5 linked regions of the Canis lupus familiaris genome follow. The protein of the gene in region 1 purifies or fractionates together with the protein of each later gene. This does not show direct contact. Links are inferred from orthologs where the notes say so. Each region holds a gene or a part of one and is shown on either strand. Other genes may lie near its edges.

Evidence for each region.
Region 2: the proteins of SOS1 (region 1) and CRKL purify together in Homo sapiens (affinity purification with mass spectrometry; 3 studies listed by BioGRID and IntAct, with this or other methods). This does not show direct contact. The link is inferred for Canis lupus familiaris from reciprocal best matches to the Homo sapiens genes SOS1 and CRKL.
Region 3: the proteins of SOS1 (region 1) and FRS2 purify together in Homo sapiens (affinity purification with western blotting; 5 studies listed by BioGRID). This does not show direct contact. The link is inferred for Canis lupus familiaris from reciprocal best matches to the Homo sapiens genes SOS1 and FRS2.
Region 4: the proteins of SOS1 (region 1) and EPS8 purify together in Homo sapiens (affinity purification with western blotting; 5 studies listed by BioGRID and IntAct, with this or other methods). This does not show direct contact. The link is inferred for Canis lupus familiaris from reciprocal best matches to the Homo sapiens genes SOS1 and EPS8.
Region 5: the proteins of SOS1 (region 1) and CRK purify together in Homo sapiens (affinity purification with mass spectrometry; 6 studies listed by BioGRID and IntAct, with this or other methods). This does not show direct contact. The link is inferred for Canis lupus familiaris from reciprocal best matches to the Homo sapiens genes SOS1 and CRK.

The regions. Positions count from the first base shown.
Region 1 is NC_049238.1:31,204,882-31,208,399, reverse strand, and holds part of SOS1 (son of sevenless homolog 1), read left to right. Parts: intron 1-329; coding exon 330-985; intron 986-3,518.
Region 2 is NC_049247.1:30,732,825-30,736,342, reverse strand, and holds part of CRKL (crk-like protein), read left to right. Parts: intron 1-1,396; coding exon 1,397-1,862; intron 1,863-3,518. UniProt on the Homo sapiens protein: May mediate the transduction of intracellular signals.
Region 3 is NC_049231.1:11,910,551-11,914,068, forward strand, and holds part of FRS2 (fibroblast growth factor receptor substrate 2), read left to right. Parts: intron 1-276; coding exon 277-1,227; 3' UTR 1,228-3,518. UniProt on the Homo sapiens protein: Adapter protein that links activated FGR and NGF receptors to downstream signaling pathways.
Region 4 is NC_049248.1:15,126,685-15,130,202, reverse strand, and holds part of EPS8 (epidermal growth factor receptor kinase substrate 8), read left to right. Parts: intron 1-2,962; coding exon 2,963-3,093; intron 3,094-3,518. UniProt on the Homo sapiens protein: Signaling adapter that controls various cellular protrusions by regulating actin cytoskeleton dynamics and architecture. Depending on its association with other signal transducers, can regulate different processes.
Region 5 is NC_049230.1:45,559,704-45,563,637, reverse strand, and holds the end of CRK (adapter molecule crk), read left to right. Parts: intron 1-2,790; coding exon 2,791-3,401; 3' UTR 3,402-3,416; downstream 3,417-3,934. UniProt on the Homo sapiens protein: Involved in cell branching and adhesion mediated by BCAR1-CRK-RAPGEF1 signaling and activation of RAP1.

The sequences.
Region 1 (3,518 bases):
ACGATTTTTTTCACTATATTGGGCTACTTTTTAATATTTGTCATTCTAAATATTTAGAAGTCAAGGTAGAAATAATCATTCCATAGCTAAATTTATAGAGTAGAATTTTGTCATTACTCATTGTTCTTTTTAGAGCACTAAAAAAAGTCTCTACTGTGTTGCTTTAGTTCCTAAAATGGTGCAGTTTTATAACACTAATATATTTGGAAAATTAATGAAAGCCTTCTCCGTGCAACTTTTTAAAATGTACTTTTATATTGTCCTTTATTTTATGAATTCTAGATTGTCTGTCATCTGTGTACTAATGATGTTTTTTTCCTTTATCCCAGTGAATCTGCATGTCGGTTTTATAGTCAGCAAATGAAGGGGAAACAACTAGCAATCAAGAAAATGAACGAGATTCAAAAGAATATTGATGGTTGGGAGGGAAAAGACATTGGACAATGTTGCAATGAATTTATAATGGAAGGAACTCTTACACGTGTAGGAGCCAAACATGAGAGACACATATTTCTCTTTGATGGCTTAATGATTTGCTGTAAATCAAATCATGGGCAGCCAAGACTTCCTGGTGCTAGCAATGCAGAATATCGTCTTAAAGAAAAGTTTTTCATGAGAAAGGTACAAATTAATGACAAAGATGACACCAGTGAGTACAAGCATGCTTTTGAAATAATTTTAAAAGATGAAAATAGTGTTATATTTTCTGCCAAGTCAGCTGAAGAGAAAAACAATTGGATGGCAGCATTGATATCTTTACAGTACCGGAGTACACTGGAAAGGATGCTTGATGTGACGATGCTACAGGAAGAGAAGGAGGAGCAGATGAGGCTCCCTAGTGCCGATGTTTATAGATTTGCAGAGCCTGACTCTGAAGAGAATATAATATTTGAAGAAAACATGCAGCCCAAGGCTGGAATTCCAATTATCAAAGCAGGAACTGTTATTAAACTTATAGAGAGGCTCACGTACCATATGTACGCAGGTAAGAAATATAAAGTTGCCTGTCACTTTTATTTTCCTGCTTCCAACTGATTTTCTTTGCTGCACAGGTCATTGTGCCTAAAATAGAAAGCAAACTAACAACAAAAGATCTCTGCATTATTCCGAGTTCATTTTCCTTTGCCTAAAAATACTGCCATTTGTACCTTTTCTGCCACATTTAAATATTATTTTTAACTTTACAACCAGAATTACAAGTAAGAAAATAAAATCACTTGGCTAAATTTACCCAATTGGTGGCAGAAACAAGATAAATCATCATTAGGGTCTAAAAACCTTTACCTTTTTTTTTCTTTCTTTCTTCTCTTTCCATTACTGAGATCTTAAAGTCAGTAAAAATTTTAGTATACATTCATTACCAGAACTGTGCTGGAATATGCGCATTGCTTTTTCTTAATTTCCATTCCTAAAACTTTCATTAAAGTTTTCAATATTTTTTTTCTGTTTTACAATTGATCACATTTAAGAAAACAGTATTACCTTAGCAGGGCAGTTTTTAAGAGACAAATGCATCCAAACTACCTAGGAAGATTGGTGGAAGCCAAATCAAATGTAATGTTGGGAGAGTTTAGGAACAAACATGATTTTTTTTTTTTAAAGTAATTCTATTTCTTCTAGTAAAGTAACCCATGATAATCCAATGTTCCTCAACCTTCAACTTTCCTACACGATAGAAAGCTTGGTAATTGTACAGTGCTGTAGCCTATGGTATAGTGGAAAGAGCACCAAATCTGGATTTACACCCTCACTCTGTCACAGTTCCCTAAGGTCCCAGACCTCAGTTTTCATCCCAAAAATCAACATCCCAACAGCAACCTTAGAATGTTATTGGAAAGAACAGATCAACGACTATATGCAAAAGCTCTTTGTAAATATAAATGTAAAATTTCAAAGAATGTTTTTATTACAAAGATCTATAAACTCAAACGTATATCTTATAACATAAATGCTCTTCTGAAGTAGTTGAATGTGAATGTTAACCTCCATCCCTATACTTCTTGCTTAAATATATTCTTATTTCTAAGAGATGTGTATTTCTAAGGGAGGTGGGGGTCTTTTGGTTTGTTTTGTTTTTTCATTTTTTAAAGTCCTCTAAATGGGTTCTCAGTTCTCTCTGGAAACTGTTCTGGCACCAGTTAAACTTTTAAAGATTACCCATTAACTGATCCATTGTAATAAAGATGAATAGCATTTGATAATATTAATCTGTTTGATTTATTAAATGTCCAGTCAGAACTACTTAAATGGCCTGGAAACTATCAGGGCCTCTTTGCAAAAAAAGTAAAATCAAGTTAGAATATTTTTATCAAAAAAAAAAAAAAGAATATTTTTATCAGTGATATCAAAACACTTTCGTTAATATCATGTTTCATTATCTCCACATGTCTCTGGGATAAATAAGCCAGTTTTGTTTTGGTTTTAATTTTTATTTGGCCTCCAATTGGTAGTTCTTTTGCTAGCTAGCCTTTTCCATAGTAAAATATTAGTGTTTTCCATAGGTTATTAAAAGCAGTTTGGATTCTCTAAACAGATTCCATTTGGTAGTAGCAGGCAGTAGCTGAAACACGTTGAAGATCATGCAAGAAACCTACTCTGGGATTCCAATTTTACTACTGATTTTTCACCTAGAAACTTCTGCTATCAGTGTTTTCATTTTACTGACTCAAAAATGAAAAAAAGCACAGGAAAGTTAAATAAGCTGCCTAAGATTTTACATAAAAAAGAAACAGATTACTCTAGCATCTTTTTTTATGTTATATAAAACTTTTTGAGAGGTATAATTTTCAGTAATTAATATGACTAACCTATTTTGTGATCTTCATCAGTTTCTGTGTACTCTTTAAGATCAAAATCAACTACAAAAATGTTTCATTAAATTACTCGAAACTTGTGGTTGCAGAATACTTCTTTCTTTGATTTTTAAGAATTTTTAAGGTTGTTACACAAGTTCAAATTGTTCTTCTTGCCACATTATTCTCAGTCTTAGATGATTCACTGATTTCATTAGCATGAACATCCTAAACTGTTTTTTATTTTAAATACCTTTGCTTTGAGTTCTTAGACTGTATTAAATTAATCCTTAGATTTTTATCTACATAAGACAAAAGTTTTACTGTTTTTTTTTTCCTGTAGAGCAATGTTAAGTAGAAAGTGCTAAAGAAGACTTATTATGTCACCATAGTGGCATTTAAATTGGAAAACATTTTCAGATTCCAAATTTTTTAATATAATTGTTTCTGTAAAACTTGATTGTTGATAAAGTTTTTTTTAAAAACTGCATTTCACAGAACTAACTTATTAGTAAACAGTTGCAGAACTACAATTAAATATTTTCTGGAAACTCTGCTTTTTATTTATTTTTTGAATTGAAAACACTTTAAAACAAAACTTGAACAAGCATAGCTGAGAGTTTTTCTGTAGTCTTGATTATTTTTTCTCCTTAATGTACACAATGCTAGCCAAGTCTGTAGACATAGTACTTTTGCTGTAGTGTCTTGTGAGTTATTTTTGATTGT
Region 2 (3,518 bases), on another chromosome or scaffold:
TTAAAAAACGATTATTTTTTGAGAGAGAGAGAGAGGCAGAGACATAGGCAGAGGGAGAAGCAGGCTCCATGCACCGGGAGCCCGACGTGGGATTCGATCCTGGGTCTCCAGGATCGCGCCCTGGGCCAAAGGCAGGCGCTAAACCGCTGCGCCACCCAGGGATCCCTCAAAAAATAATCTTTAAAAAAAAAAAAAGATAAATCGGAAACCATAGTCGGTGGTTAAACAGGCATTTCCTATCCTAGCTTACTCTCAAGGCTACTCTAGATTTAGGCCCTGTTGGTGGTACTGCAAGCTGAGTCACTTCAGAGGTGCAGGCTCTTTGGGTGAAGCCCAGAGTTTGTTACTCTGGTGTAGATTCTGTACTTTAGAAAAGTTAAGGTGTGGGAGGGAGCTAATGATAAGACAGTTTATTTTCCCCAAAGCTGGTACATTTGCAACTTCTTAAAACATTTCTTAGGTGAAGAGAGACCTCTATAGTTCTTTTCCAAAAGAGGCATTACAGATGGGGTATTAGAGGAGAGCAGAGACTGCACTCCTAGAACTATCTCTGGGAGGGCATTCTGCAGCTTTGTTGGCCAATACATGTTGATCTCTTGAGCACAGCAGAGGCGTGTGGTGGTGTCTGTGGACTGATGCTTTCTTGCCTGTGAATTCTGCAGTGAAAAGGTCCCTATGTTTTCATTTTGGTGCTCAGATGATGATTCCTGCATAAAATGTAATGTGGGTTTCATTATCTTTTTTAATTGGCTTATGTATAAACCCTTTTCTGGTTTTTGTATTTTGAGGGACACAGAAACCTTTGTCATTTTCTCTCTGGGTACCCAGGGAAATGTGCAGGATGCTTACTATAGATTAGGACCAGGAGGAAGAATGTGTGGTGGTTGTTCCAGAGTCCTAAGGAAGGACTGAACTTAAGATTTTAAAAATAAATCTGGGGGCACCTGGGTGGTTCAGTGGTTGAGCATCTGCCTTTGGCTCAGGGCATGATCCCAGGGTCCTGGGATCGAGTCTTACATCTGGCTCCCTACAAGGAGCCTGCTTTTCCCTCAATCTATGTCTCTGCCTCTCTTTGTGTGTTTCTCATGAATAAATAAATAAAATCTTAAAATAAATAAACTCAGACCAGCTGTATCTCTGTAAACAAAAGGTTCCTGTGAAACAGATTGTGTGTGTGTGTGTGTATGTACTTGTGATTTAACAAGGTCTATTCAGGATATTAAATTCTGTTGCAGTACAGACTGCAGAACATAAAACAATATGACAGAACTTTCTTACTACTGAGAATTTAGCAAGGGAAATAATTCATCATAGAGGAAAATGGTTTATTTAAATATTTGACAAACACTGGTATCAAGATTTTTTCTCTTAGAGTTAATTTTCTTTCTCTCTGAAGGTACCCAAGCCCACCAATGGGATCTGTATCAGCACCCAACCTGCCTACAGCAGAAGAAAATCTGGAATATGTACGGACTCTCTATGATTTTCTTGGGAATGATGCTGAAGACCTGCCCTTTAAAAAGGGTGAGATCCTGGTGATAATAGAGAAGCCTGAAGAACAGTGGTGGAGTGCCCGGAACAAGGAGGGCCGGATTGGGATGATTCCTGTTCCTTATGTTGAAAAGCTTGTGAGATCCTCACCACATGGAAAGCACGGGAATAGGAATTCCAACAGTTACGGAATCCCAGAACCTGCTCATGCATATGCTCAACCTCAGACCACAACTCCTCTACCTGCAGTTTCCAGTACTCCTGGGGCAGCGATCAACCCTTTGCCATCCACACAGAATGGACCTGTCTTTGCAAAAGCCATCCAGAAAAGAGTACCCTGTGCTTATGACAAGACCGCCTTGGCATTAGAGGTAAAATTTACAAGGCTGGTTTTTTGGGTCTTTTGACATTTGGTTTTAATTTTGTTTCTACAAAGTAACTGCTCATTTCAAGTTCTATTCAGGGGAATAAGAGAACCGGGTAATTTTGGAAGATCCACTGTGAGTGTCCCACACAACTCTTGTCCTTCCTATATTCTTTGTTTCTCCCAGGGTATAATCTCTCTTAGGTTTACTCTCACAGTAGTTTTGTTTTGTTTTTTAAAGATTTTATTCATCTATTCATGAGAGACAAACACAGAGAGAGAGAGAGGCAGAGACACAGGCAGAGGGAGAAGCAGGCTCCATGCAAAGAGCCCGACGTGGGACTCGATCCCGAGACTCTAGGATCATGCCCTGGGCCAAAGGCAGGCACCAAACTCCTGAGCCACCCAGGGATCCCCCTGTAGTTGGTTTTCTTTCCAATAAGGAAAGATGATGATGGTTAATAAAGATCCATTACCTAAAGATGAAATGAGCATACAGGTAGACACATAGCCATTTGTACAGTTCCATATTTCTAACATCGCGATCAGTTGAGGAGACATCAATAAATGTCTTAGGATTCCTCTTCAGCTAGGCAGAGTTTAAAATATCTCAGACCTTACTAGATTTTTTAATTTTTTAATTTTTTAAAGATTTTATTTATTTATTCATGAGAGACAGAGAAAGGCAGAGACACAGGCAGAGACACAGGCAGAGGGAAAAGCAGGCTCCATGCAGGGAGCCCGACATGGGACTTGATCCCAGGTCTCCAGGATCACGCCCTGGGCCGAAGGCAGCGCTAAACCACTGAGCCACCCGGGCTGCCCTAGATCTATTTTTTGATAGAGACTTTGTAAATTACATAATAGCATGAAATAGAACTTGAGCATTTTAATTGCCAAGTCATGTTCTTTAAATCAAACATTAACTGTCTTTAAAAAAAAAAAAAAAAAAAAAAACTTTTGCAAAGCTTAGCAAGAGTGGTGTTCTGAACCAAAAAGTCCTGAAGGTCAGTGTTGATTGATAAGCCTGTTGAGGGCATATCACAGAACGTAGAAGTTTGATGAGACATCTGGTAAACCTGGAGTGACCATAAATGAGCACAAACCCCAGAAGAACAACAGAAGGACTACTTAAGGGGGAAAAAAGGATTTTTTAAAAATTCATGTTTTTAGAACAGTCCTGTATATTTTTCATGTTTTTTTTTAATGAGGTATAAAATACATAAATTGAGATGGGCCCTAAATATTAACGTGTCAGAACATGGAATACAGTGCCGCAAATCCTAGTTTGTTAATAAGATGTGAAAATGCTTTGTGAGCCACAAGCTACAAGGTAAATATCATTGTAATGTGATTACAGCTGAATACTCTGTTGATATTATTAAATTGCATATATGTTGGAGAAACTGAGGTTACGCTAGTGATCGTTCTCTGTTCTCTGTGTTCACCCCAAGGTCAGAGTAGGGCAGGGCTGCAAGACCGAAGGATGAAGCAATGGAGCCTGAGTCTGATTGAGTCTGATTACTTCTCCCTCTCATGTTGGCTATAAAGGAGTGAGCATCTGAGGCTTGTGACAGGGACCAGGTCTAGGGAGGACCCACATGCTTTTAATGCTTACCAGTGGAGGAATAGGAAAGAAACCAGACTGAATCCTGGCTGAGTA
Region 3 (3,518 bases), on another chromosome or scaffold:
CAATTCATTCCTGATTTTTTTTAACAGAGTGCTTTTCGTGTATCAAGTACAATGTCATGTGTTATTTTAGAGTAGTTATTCTTTTATCAAGTGAAGAAGATCTTTCTACATTCTTCCCCTCTCCCCACCTTTTCCTTAGTGAAAACTGGGTACACAAGCCTCGAAGGGAGAGTATAGTGAGAGAGAAAGTTAATCGATTAAGTTAACTGATATGATCAGCCTTTTTTGGTTTTTGTTTTAGGCAAGTTATTGATTCACTTTCCTGTTTTGTTTTAGGTACATACCTATGTCAACACTACAGGAGTGCAAGAAGAGCGGAAAAACCGCACAAGTGTGCATGTCCCATTGGAGGCGAGGATTTCTAATGCTGAAAGCAACACACCAAAAGAAGAACCAAGTAGTATTGAGGACAGGGACCCTCAGATTCTTCTTGAACCCGAAGGAGTCAAATTTGTCTTAGGACCAACCCCTGTTCAAAAGCAGTTGATGGAAAAAGAGAAACTGGAGCAACTTGGAAGAGACCAAGTCAGTGGAAGCGGTGCCAATAGCACAGAATGGGACACTGGATATGACAGTGATGAGCGAAGAGATGCACCCTCTGTTAACAAACTGGTGTATGAAAATATAAATGGGTTATCTATCCCTAGTGCCTCAGGGGTCAGGAGAGGTCGTCTGACATCCAGCAGTACCTCAGATACCCAGAATATCAACAACTCAGCTCAGAGAAGAACTGCATTATTAAACTATGAAAATTTACCATCTTTGCCTCCTGTCTGGGAAGCCCGCAAGCTTAGTAGGGATGAAGATGACAATTTAGGACCAAAGACCCCATCTCTAAATGGCTACCATAATAATCTAGATCCAATGCATAACTATGTAAATACAGAGAATGTAACAGTGCCGGCAAGTGCTCACAAAATAGAATATTCGAGGCGTCGGGACTGTACACCGACAGTCTTTAACTTTGATATCAGACGCCCAAGTTTAGAACACAGGCAGCTCAATTACATACAGGTTGACTTGGAAGGTGGCAGTGACTCTGACAACCCTCAGACTCCAAAAACACCTACCACTCCCCTTCCACAGACCCCTACCAGGCGCACAGAGCTGTACGCTGTGATAGACATCGAGAGAACTGCTGCTATGTCAAATCTGCAGAAAGCACTGCCGCGAGACGACGGTACGTCTAGGAAGACCAGACATAATAGTACTGACCTGCCCATGTGAGCCCGGAAAGCGGTACATTGTTTGCACCTTTGTGAAGTTTCAAAAAATGAAGATGCAAGTGCTTCATTTTCATTTCTAAACACTAACTCCTTTTATAGACTGATAAGATTTTTTTTCTGACTATTTCATGTGCTTCTTTAACTAAAGGGAATTAACGTTAGAGCAGGTACTCATTAAAGAACACTAATTTCAGTACATACTACTCATTACTGTACAGCAGCATTCCCATTTTCACAGTGCCTATTTAAAATGAGAGTTGAAGTGAGTGACATGCTGGTTGATTGTTATCAATATTCCGGACTTACGCATATCATTCATGTCTAAGTCATGGTTGGCGTTTAAAACATTTTATAAAGCCTCTTGATCATGTGCATTGCTAACAGATAACTCTAGGCTTTGAAAGTAATATTTGTAGACTCACTATTCATGGTATATGGCCTCCAGCATGTAACATGAGGAATCCTTTATTTCATTAATTGTAGGCTTTTTGCCTTGAGCCAAAACATATGTAAAGGAAATAGAAGTACCACACCTCCTTATATACCAGTCAGTTCCTTTGCCTTCTACGTTACTAGAAAGAGTCCTGTGCCCATGAATAGGGTTTGTTCTCGGTGTGTCGAAAGGCAGGAAGGAGTCAAAATTTTCTCTTTACTCATCTCATGATGTCATTTGAAGGGCAGGCCCAGATAATATCTTAATCAGAATTACACTAGACTCCAGAATCAGTCTCAGGTCACTTTACCCAAAAACATTTGGAAATCTGAACCAGGATCTCTTGAAAGTTGCTCTCCCATAGATTATGAACAATAACATTGTTTCCTGGAGGCATCTGGGCCATTAGATTGCCATTTACCTTCAGTTTTTTCCTTTGGTGTTTGGGATGTCTTATTCTGTTGCTTACTGTCTTTTTCAATTTAAAATGTTTGAGTTTGTATATAGTTTTGAAATTGGACTACATGTTCGTTGTTGTTTAGTTTGCATTTCTGTCGAATTGTGGTTTTGAAGGTTCGTTTGGAACTTACTGTTATTCTGTAACAGGGTTGCCCTTGTCCAGTATTTATTTATATGCTGTTTACTTTTCAAGTTGATAAAAACATTCACGCAATTTGAAATTTCACTCGTGTCCATAGGTGATCTCTTTAACAGTTGAGGAAAAAAAAAAAAAAAAAAAAAAGAAGCTACTTTTCACACGCAAAGTTCCCTAAAGGTACTGTGTTTTCTCTGTGGGCACTCTCCCCAGCACTTTAGCAGCGATTCCCTCATCACACGGCTGCAGTTGTTCTTTGCCCGCAGTGGTGTTCCCCCCCTCTGCTGTCCTTTCACTCATAGATGGATCTTTGGTTATCCCTTGATTTCAGTAGAATGTTAGGATCGTGGCCAGCATAGCAGGTACAGTGGAAGTCTTACAGCAATGAGATTGTGTCATAATTTAGGATTTAAAATGAATTGAAGTTTATATAAACTGAAGAGAGACCGTATGTCGTAACTCTCGGAAAGTCAAGAATGTTCCAGTTTCTCAAAACACTAGGGAAGACAAGAGACGGCAGAGCGGAACGGTTAGGTTACTGTTTTCTCTAAATGTTGAGGAAGTTTGAGATCATGATTTGGATCTATCGTCCAGATGTAACTAAGGTCTCAGTCATACAGCACCCAACCTGACCAGTGAATAACCTGATTAATTATGGGACAGTGAGTGGATTAGCAGAAGAGAGTGGGACCATTATAAAGAAAATAAATTATTAAAGCTTGTCGTTATTATTTTCAGTGCCATTGGTTTATGTGCATAGCAGAATTTTCTTTCTTTCTTTCTTTCTTTCTTCTTTTTTATTTTTCTGTGAACCTGGTGCTTACTAAAGTGTTCACTGTGCTCTAAGGAGAGAACATTGGTATTGGTGTGCAGTTTCCATTTTTAATGTATTGTTCCATTTATGCTTTCCTCTGAGTAGATTGCTAATCGTGCCAAATTTATGTGATGGTTTTTGTAACGTGGAATAAGAATTATAATGGAACCAGTACATGTGGTTTTCTCCAAAACAAGCAGTCAAGACAGGACCTCCAGATGAAAGGGCTGACCTACTGATTCATTTTGGAGGTCGGATACTTTATTTTCTTTCTTTTCCTCACCATTTTCATTTTCCTCTGGATTCTAATTAGTTCTTATATATTTTAGGTAGCTCCAATATAATCATTGCAGTTTATGCTTTAAATACTGTGTGCTTTAAAAATGAAAATGGGACCAATTTGTCTGCTAAGAATTTGATTTTAGGTACTATGAGTATTAGGAAGATGTA
Region 4 (3,518 bases), on another chromosome or scaffold:
ATCCTTTAATAAAAAAAGAATTGCCTGATCATCTAGTGCCTCTTCTCTCAACTAGGGAAATGATAAACTGAATTAATTAAGCTACTGATTTGTTATTTTTAATTTCAGCCTTATTGAGGTATAGTTGACAAAACCAAGATATTTAAGGTGTTCATCTGGTGAAGGATCCCCCTCCCCTCTAGTTAATTGACACATCTGTCACTTCACATATTTATCTTTTTTTCTTTTGGTGAGGACATTTAAGTTCTATTAGCAAATTTCAGTTAACACAACATAGTGTTATCAGCTACGCTCACCATGTTTTACATTAGATCCTCCACCATATTCATTTATAGCTGAAAGTTTGTACCCTTTTACCAAGTTCTCTCATTTCCCCCAGCCTTTGGCAACCACTTTTCTATAAGTTCAATTTTTTTTTTTTTTTTGGATTTTACCTATAAACAATACCGTGCAGTATTTTTCTTTTCCTGTTTGGCTTATTTCTGCTTTTCAAAGCAGAATGCTTTCAGAGTCCATCTATGTTGTTGTAAATAACAAGATTTGCTTTTCTGTCATAGCTGAATAAAATTTTATTGTGTATATATAACACATCTTTACCCATTTATCTGTTGATGGACACTTCGGTTGTTTCCATATTGTGAAAAATGCTGCAGTGAACATGGAGATGCAGATATCTCTTCAAGATCCTAATTTCAGGGGCAGCCCCAGTGGCTCAGTGGTTTAGCGCCGCCTTCAGCCCAGGGCATGATCCTGGAGACCTGGGATCGAGTCCCACGTCAGGCTCCCTGCATGGAGCCTGCTTCTCCCTCTGCCTGCGTCTCTGCCTCTCTCTCTCTCTGTGTCTCTCATGAATAAATAAATAGAATCTTAAAAAAAAATCCTAATTTCATTTCCTTTAGTATTATACCCAGTAGTGGAGCTGCTGAATAGTATGGTAGTTCTACTTCTAATTTTTAAAAAGATTTTATTTATTTATTGGAGAGAGAAGGGGGTAACAAGCTGTGAGGAGGAGCAGAGGGAGAGGGAGAGAGAGAGCGAGAGAAACAGACTCCTTGCTGAGCAGAGAGCCCTACATGCGGCTTGATCCCAGGACACGGAGATCATAACCTGAGTTGAAGGCAGACGCTTAACTGACTGAACCACCCAGGCACCCTATTTCTAATTTTTTGAGAAACCTCCATACTGTTTTAAGATTTGTTAATTTATTTGAGAGAGAAAGAGCACATATGAGCAGAGAGAGAGCAGATTGGGTTGGCTGTGGAACAGAAGCAGAGAGAGATAGAATCCCAAGCAGACTTCCTGCTAAGCACAGAGCCAGACACTGGCTCAATCTCATGACAGGGAGATCATGACCTGAGCTGAAATCAAGAGTTGGACACTTCACCGACTAAGCCTGCCAAGTGCCCCCCTTCATACTGTTTTCCATAACAGCTGCACCAATTTAAATTCCTACCAACAGTATAGAGGGTTTCCTTTTTTTTTTTTTTTTTTTCCCACATCCTTACTGACCACTTGTTATCTCTTATCTTTTTAATGATAGCCATTCTGACAACTGTAAGGTGAGGTCTCACTGTGATTTTGATTCACATTTCCTTGATGATTAGTGATATTGAGCACCCTTCATGTATGTTTGCCATTTGTATGTCTTCTCTGGAAAGATGTAGCTGTGCCCATTTTTTAACTAAATTGGGATTTTTGTTTGGTTAGTTGTTTGTTTGTTTTTTTTTTTCCTCTTGAGCTATATGAGTTCTTTATATATATTTGGGTTTCTAGTCCTTATCAGTATATGATTTGTAAACATCTTCTCTGATTCTATAGTTGCCTTTTCATTTTGTTGATGATTTAAGCTAAGATATTTAAATGGTGAAAATTGCTTTTTTTAATTTGTGTGTTGCAGTATATTCTAGGGAGATAAATTCTAAAGGAGCAATATAGTGTGGGTATTTTGACATTCACACTAGTCCATCGGAGAAACCCCACCTACTCTGTCTGTGTTTAAACACATCCCTACTCCTGCCAACTCTGTCATTAGGATGAACTATAGTAAACATGTATCTAAGACTTTTCTAAAACATTTCCAGGTTCAAATATTTTGCCCCAATGAGTTCATAAAGTTTAAATAGCCAAGGACCTCCATGCTTCCTGTTCTATTGTGCCTCTGCCATACTTCAGTTCACAAAAGGAGTATAATATCTCAACATGAATATTTTTTAGATCTTTTTTGGTCTTGTTTCTTTGTTTTTTTCCCCATAGCTTTGAAATCATGGTGCTTATTGGGTTGCAGAGACCTCAGTTACCCCTCCTGGTAGCACCCAGTAGGCTCATGTTGAAATTGTGTTAACTGCAACAAGAAATTACTCCAGTATTTTTTATCCTGGAGTATTAACTGTCAAGATCAATGAGTTTTTGTCTTTTGTATTTCCCTCAACAGTAAATTTGATAATAATGGCCAAATTTTTAAATGCCATTTTTTTAAAAATGAAAAAAAATAGGGTCTGTGTACATTTAAAGAATGAGAACATAGTATAATTTTAATGCACAGATTTTAGATGATTTTTATGTGATATATTTAGTATGCTAGAATGGTAGAAGTCTGTTTCTTAAACATAGAGCTCAAAGGCAAAGAGTTCTATTGTTGTTTTCAAACCAGTTTTATTTTATGTAAGCTGTTAAAGTCTACCTAATACCAAAATGAACTATTACTGAAATTCCCGAGGAAAGAATTTATTGCTTGTATACCCATTTATTTTCAAAATTATGATTTAGCTATTGTACTAATGACTTTTCCTATTATAAATAAGTCTTTGACAAAAATTTATCCACCCCCATTTTACAATTTGTTAATAATGGTAAAGCACTTGAAAATGAAACTGATCTCAATATGGTGGAGGGTTTTGTTGCTTGATGTTAGTAGTTATTCAAGTAGTCTTAGAGACTGACTCTTTTAATCTTCTTCTTTCAGCAGTCCAGTGTATCAGAGTATCCTCCAGCTGATGGGTATGCATTCAACAACATGTACACAAGAGGGCCCCAGCTGGACCAAGGGGAAGCCGCTGTGGCTTTTAAGCCAACTCCTAATCGCCACATGGATAGGTAACATTTCATGGGCACCATTTGGAGACCTGTGGATAACTGGCTTTGATTTAGTGCAAATAGAGGTCCTGGCGTCTGGATTGTTCACTACTTCTTTAAACTTTCCATCTGTTAATTGTTTGATAAAGTTTCAGTTGTTCCTTTATAGAATTGGTTTTGATAAACAAAGCCTCTAGTCTATAAATCTTACTGGAAAACCTCCAGCCTATAACTCTAATTTAGTGTAAATGCCTTTGGATGACTTTCCTTTTTTAAAAAGATGCTCTGACAAAATCTGTGAATTAAAAACAAAGAAGAATTGTTTTGAAACTCTCCATTAGTTTATACCAGATGGTCTCTAAGGATCTTTCTAGCTCTGTAACTTTCAAAGGAAACAACTTTCATCTTTCTCTCCCCACAACAAAAACAAACCTTCCTTTAGATAA
Region 5 (3,934 bases), on another chromosome or scaffold:
ATAAATTGTACAGACTTTTTGGAGAGCAATTTGGCAATATAAACCTTAATGTTCTTACTCTTTGGGATCCCTGGGTGGCTCAGCAGTTTGGTGCCTGCCTTTGGGGCAGGGCATGATCCTGGAGCCCCGGGATCAAATCCCACATCGGGCTCCCTGCATGGAGCCTGCTTCTCCCTCTGCCTGTGTCTCTGCCCCTCTCTCTCTCTGTCTCATGAATAAATAAATAAAATCCTTTAAAATAAAATGTTCTTACCCTTTGATCCAGCAGTTGCATTTCAAGGAATTTATCCTAATGGAATAAGAAAAAAAGTCTTCACTGGGGCACCTGGGTGGCTCAGTCTGTTGAGCGTCTGAGGTGGGCTTGGTCATGATTCCAGAGTCTCAGGATCAAGTCCCATGTTGGGCTGCCTGCTCAGCAGGGAATCTGCTTCTCATTTCCCTCTGCCCCTCCTCCCTCTCGTGCTCTCACTCTCAAATAAATAATCTTTAAAAAAAAGAAGGAAAGCTTATTAACAAAAATGCTCATAATAGCATTTTCACTAGTGAAAAGTTGGGAACACTTTATAGCTATTAAAAGTCATGTTCTTAAAAAAAAAAAAAAGTTATGTTCTTGGGGCAGCTCAGGTGGCTCAGAGGTTTAGCGTGTGTCTTCAGTCCAGGGCATGATCCTGGGGTCCTGGGATTGAGTCCCATGTCAGGCTCCCTGCATGGAGCCTGTTTCTCCCTCTGCCTGGGTCTCTGCCTCACTCCCTCTGTGTCTCTCATGAATAAATAAAATCTTGAAAAGTTGTTCTTAAAAAGGAGAAATTTATAAATTTCATAATAAAAAGGCAAGTTATAAAGCTTTGTAGTAACTGTAAAACACTTGTGTATGTATACTTATGACCTTGTATATATACATACATATATATACATAAACATTAAAATTTGGGAGGTTCTATCTCAATTTTTTTTTTTTAATATCTCAATTTTGAATGTGGATTAAGGCTTAACCTGGGGGTTAAGTCTGATTAAAAAAAAATCAGGGTGCCTTGGTGGCTCAAGCATTAAGCATCTGCCTTAGTCTCAGATCATGATCCCAAGGTCCTGGGATGGAGCCCTGCATTGGGGTCCTTCCTTAGTGAGGAGACTGCTTCTCCTTTTCCCTCTACCCTTCCCCTTGCTTGTGCTCCTTCTCTCTCAAATAAACCTTTAAAACAAAACAAGGAAGGGGCTTCTGGGTGGCTCAGTGGTTGAGTGTCTGCCTTTGACTCAGGTCGTGATCCCTGAGTCCTGGGATTGAGTCCCATGGGGAGCCTGCTTCTCCCTCTGCCTGTGTCTGCCTCTCTCTCAGTGTCTCTCATGAATAAATAAAATCTTAAAAAAAAAAAAAAGAGCTCCACAAAAACCAGTTTAAGATTTTGTTTTAAGGGGACGCCTGGGTGGCTCAGCAGTTGAGTGCCTGCCTTCAGCCCAAGGCCTGATCTTGGACTCCCAGGATTGAGTCCCACCTCAGGCTTCCTGCATGGAGCCTGCTTCTGTCTCTCCCTATGTCTCTGCTTCTCTCTCTGTGTGTGTGTGTCTCTCATGAATAAATAAATGGATCTTAAAAAAAAAAAAAAAAAGATTTTGTTTTAAGTAATTTCTACCTCCAACATGGGGTTGGAACTCACATGCCAGAGACCAAGAGTTGCATGCTCTGGGATGCCTGAGTGGCTCAGTTGGTTAAGTGTCTGCCTTCCACTCAGGTCATGATCCCAGGGTCCTGGGATTGAGCCCCACATCAGGCTTCCTGCTCAGTGGGGAACTTGTTTCTCCCTCTCCCTCTCCCTCTGCCCCTCCCCCTGCTTGTGCTCTCTGACTCTCAAATAAATAAAATCTTTTTTTTTTTTTTTTTTTTTTTTTTTTTAAAGTTGCATGCTCTGCCGACTGAGCCAACCAGGGAACCCTGGAGTTTGAGAAATTTAACACTTATTTTTTTTTCAAGTATCCTTATTTACCTTTTTTCATGATCTGTTTGCTTCAAAGGGAACAGTATGGTTTACATGTTTTATTTCAGTGAAGACCTGTAGGAATTGATTGTTAAGCAGTTAACTTCTTGATTTCTCTTTTTAGGCTCCTTGGTTCTTTTGCCTAATTAAGATTGTTTGTTTGTTTTGGTAACTGTCAGAAATGAATTTGAGATCAGCAATCATAGATTTAAAAAGATAGTCTTGGGATGCCTGGCTGGCTTAGTCAATAAAGCATGCGACTTGATCTCAGGATTGTGAGTTCAAGCCCCACACTGGGCATGTAGAACTCACTTAAAAATAAACACTTTTTTCTTCTTAGGAATTGTCTAGAAGATGTGAAGAGAAGGAATGTATGAGCCTGGTGTAGATAGATAGCAAGTTTTCCCCACCTCTTCTTGGAAAAGCTGCTGGGACTTATGAAAAAGTAGAGCTTGCTACATTTCCTGAGGTTAAAAGAAGATTGCAAGGAAACCTTAAAGCTTATGCTACTCTGTAAATGAATAGCACAATAAAAAGTCTCCATGTTGCTTTGTCTTTGATCCAGTATGGAAACATGCCCTGACTGGCCTGATCTGTTATGGCCTTCTGTTCTGTCTCTACTGCAGGTGGTGATGGGCATCTTTCTCTAGGGTATGTTTTAACTACAGAGTATGATTTCTGTTTAGGACAGGGGTTATCTTTTCTAGACTTTTTTTTTTTTTCTGATTATTGACCAAATGTGTTTGGGAAATGCTTAAAAACTTCATTTCATCTCCTGTGTACTACATCTTAAATAATAGCCTGCTCTGTTTTTTTCCAGGGGTGAGCCCCTCCAGACTCCGAATAGGAGATCAAGAGTTTGATTCATTGCCTGCTTTACTGGAATTCTACAAAATACATTATTTGGACACTACAACATTGATAGAACCAGTTTCCAGATCCAGGCAGGGTAGTGGAGTGATTCTCAGGCAGGAGGAGGCAGAGTATGTGCGAGCCCTCTTTGACTTTAATGGGAATGATGAAGAAGATCTTCCCTTTAAGAAAGGAGACATCCTGAGAATCCGAGATAAGCCTGAAGAGCAGTGGTGGAATGCAGAGGACAGCGAAGGCAAGAGGGGGATGATTCCAGTCCCTTACGTCGAGAAGTATAGACCTGCCTCCGCCTCAGTATCGGCTCTGATTGGAGGTAACCAGGAGGGTTCCCACCCACAGCCACTGGGTGGGCCGGAGCCTGGGCCCTATGCCCAACCCAGCGTCAACACTCCGCTCCCTAACCTCCAGAATGGGCCCATTTATGCCAGGGTAATCCAGAAGCGAGTCCCTAATGCCTACGACAAGACAGCCTTGGCTTTGGAGGTACATAATGTGCAAAATGTAGAAAGAAGAGATCTGCTGCAGGGTCTCCCTTTCAGACCTCTTAGAGCTTTTTAGGAATGCTGAATAGAAGCACCAGCATTGTGATGTTGTAGATGTCAAACCATTAAGTACTCATTTTGGCATTTAATGTTAGGTTTTCTCTTTTTTGTAGAAAACCTATTTTGGAATAAGTAAGCTTAAAATTGTATAACTCCATGTTCTGATTGATCTACTAAACATACTTTGACTTCTTCAGTAACACCACCTGAATTAATAGGAATTAACCTAAAATATTTTTTTCTCATCTACATTCTAATCTGATTCATTCTTTCTGTTTATAATTGTCTAAAATAAGGTGGGCTCTGTCAAACCACTTAAATGGACTTTTCCCATTTTACTTTAGGGGAAATGGGGTTTCTTACCATTGACTGATTGTGTTTGTAAAGTAAAAATTTAGGAGGAACGGTAAAGCATAGTACAGGTAAGAAGAGATACATACTGAAAACTGTATACTACCAGGAGTAGCAAGTTTACTTTTTTTTTTTTTTTTTTTTAAGTTTACTTGTTTTTTATTGTTCAGTGCATTTTACAGACAGGAAGCCAGTTCC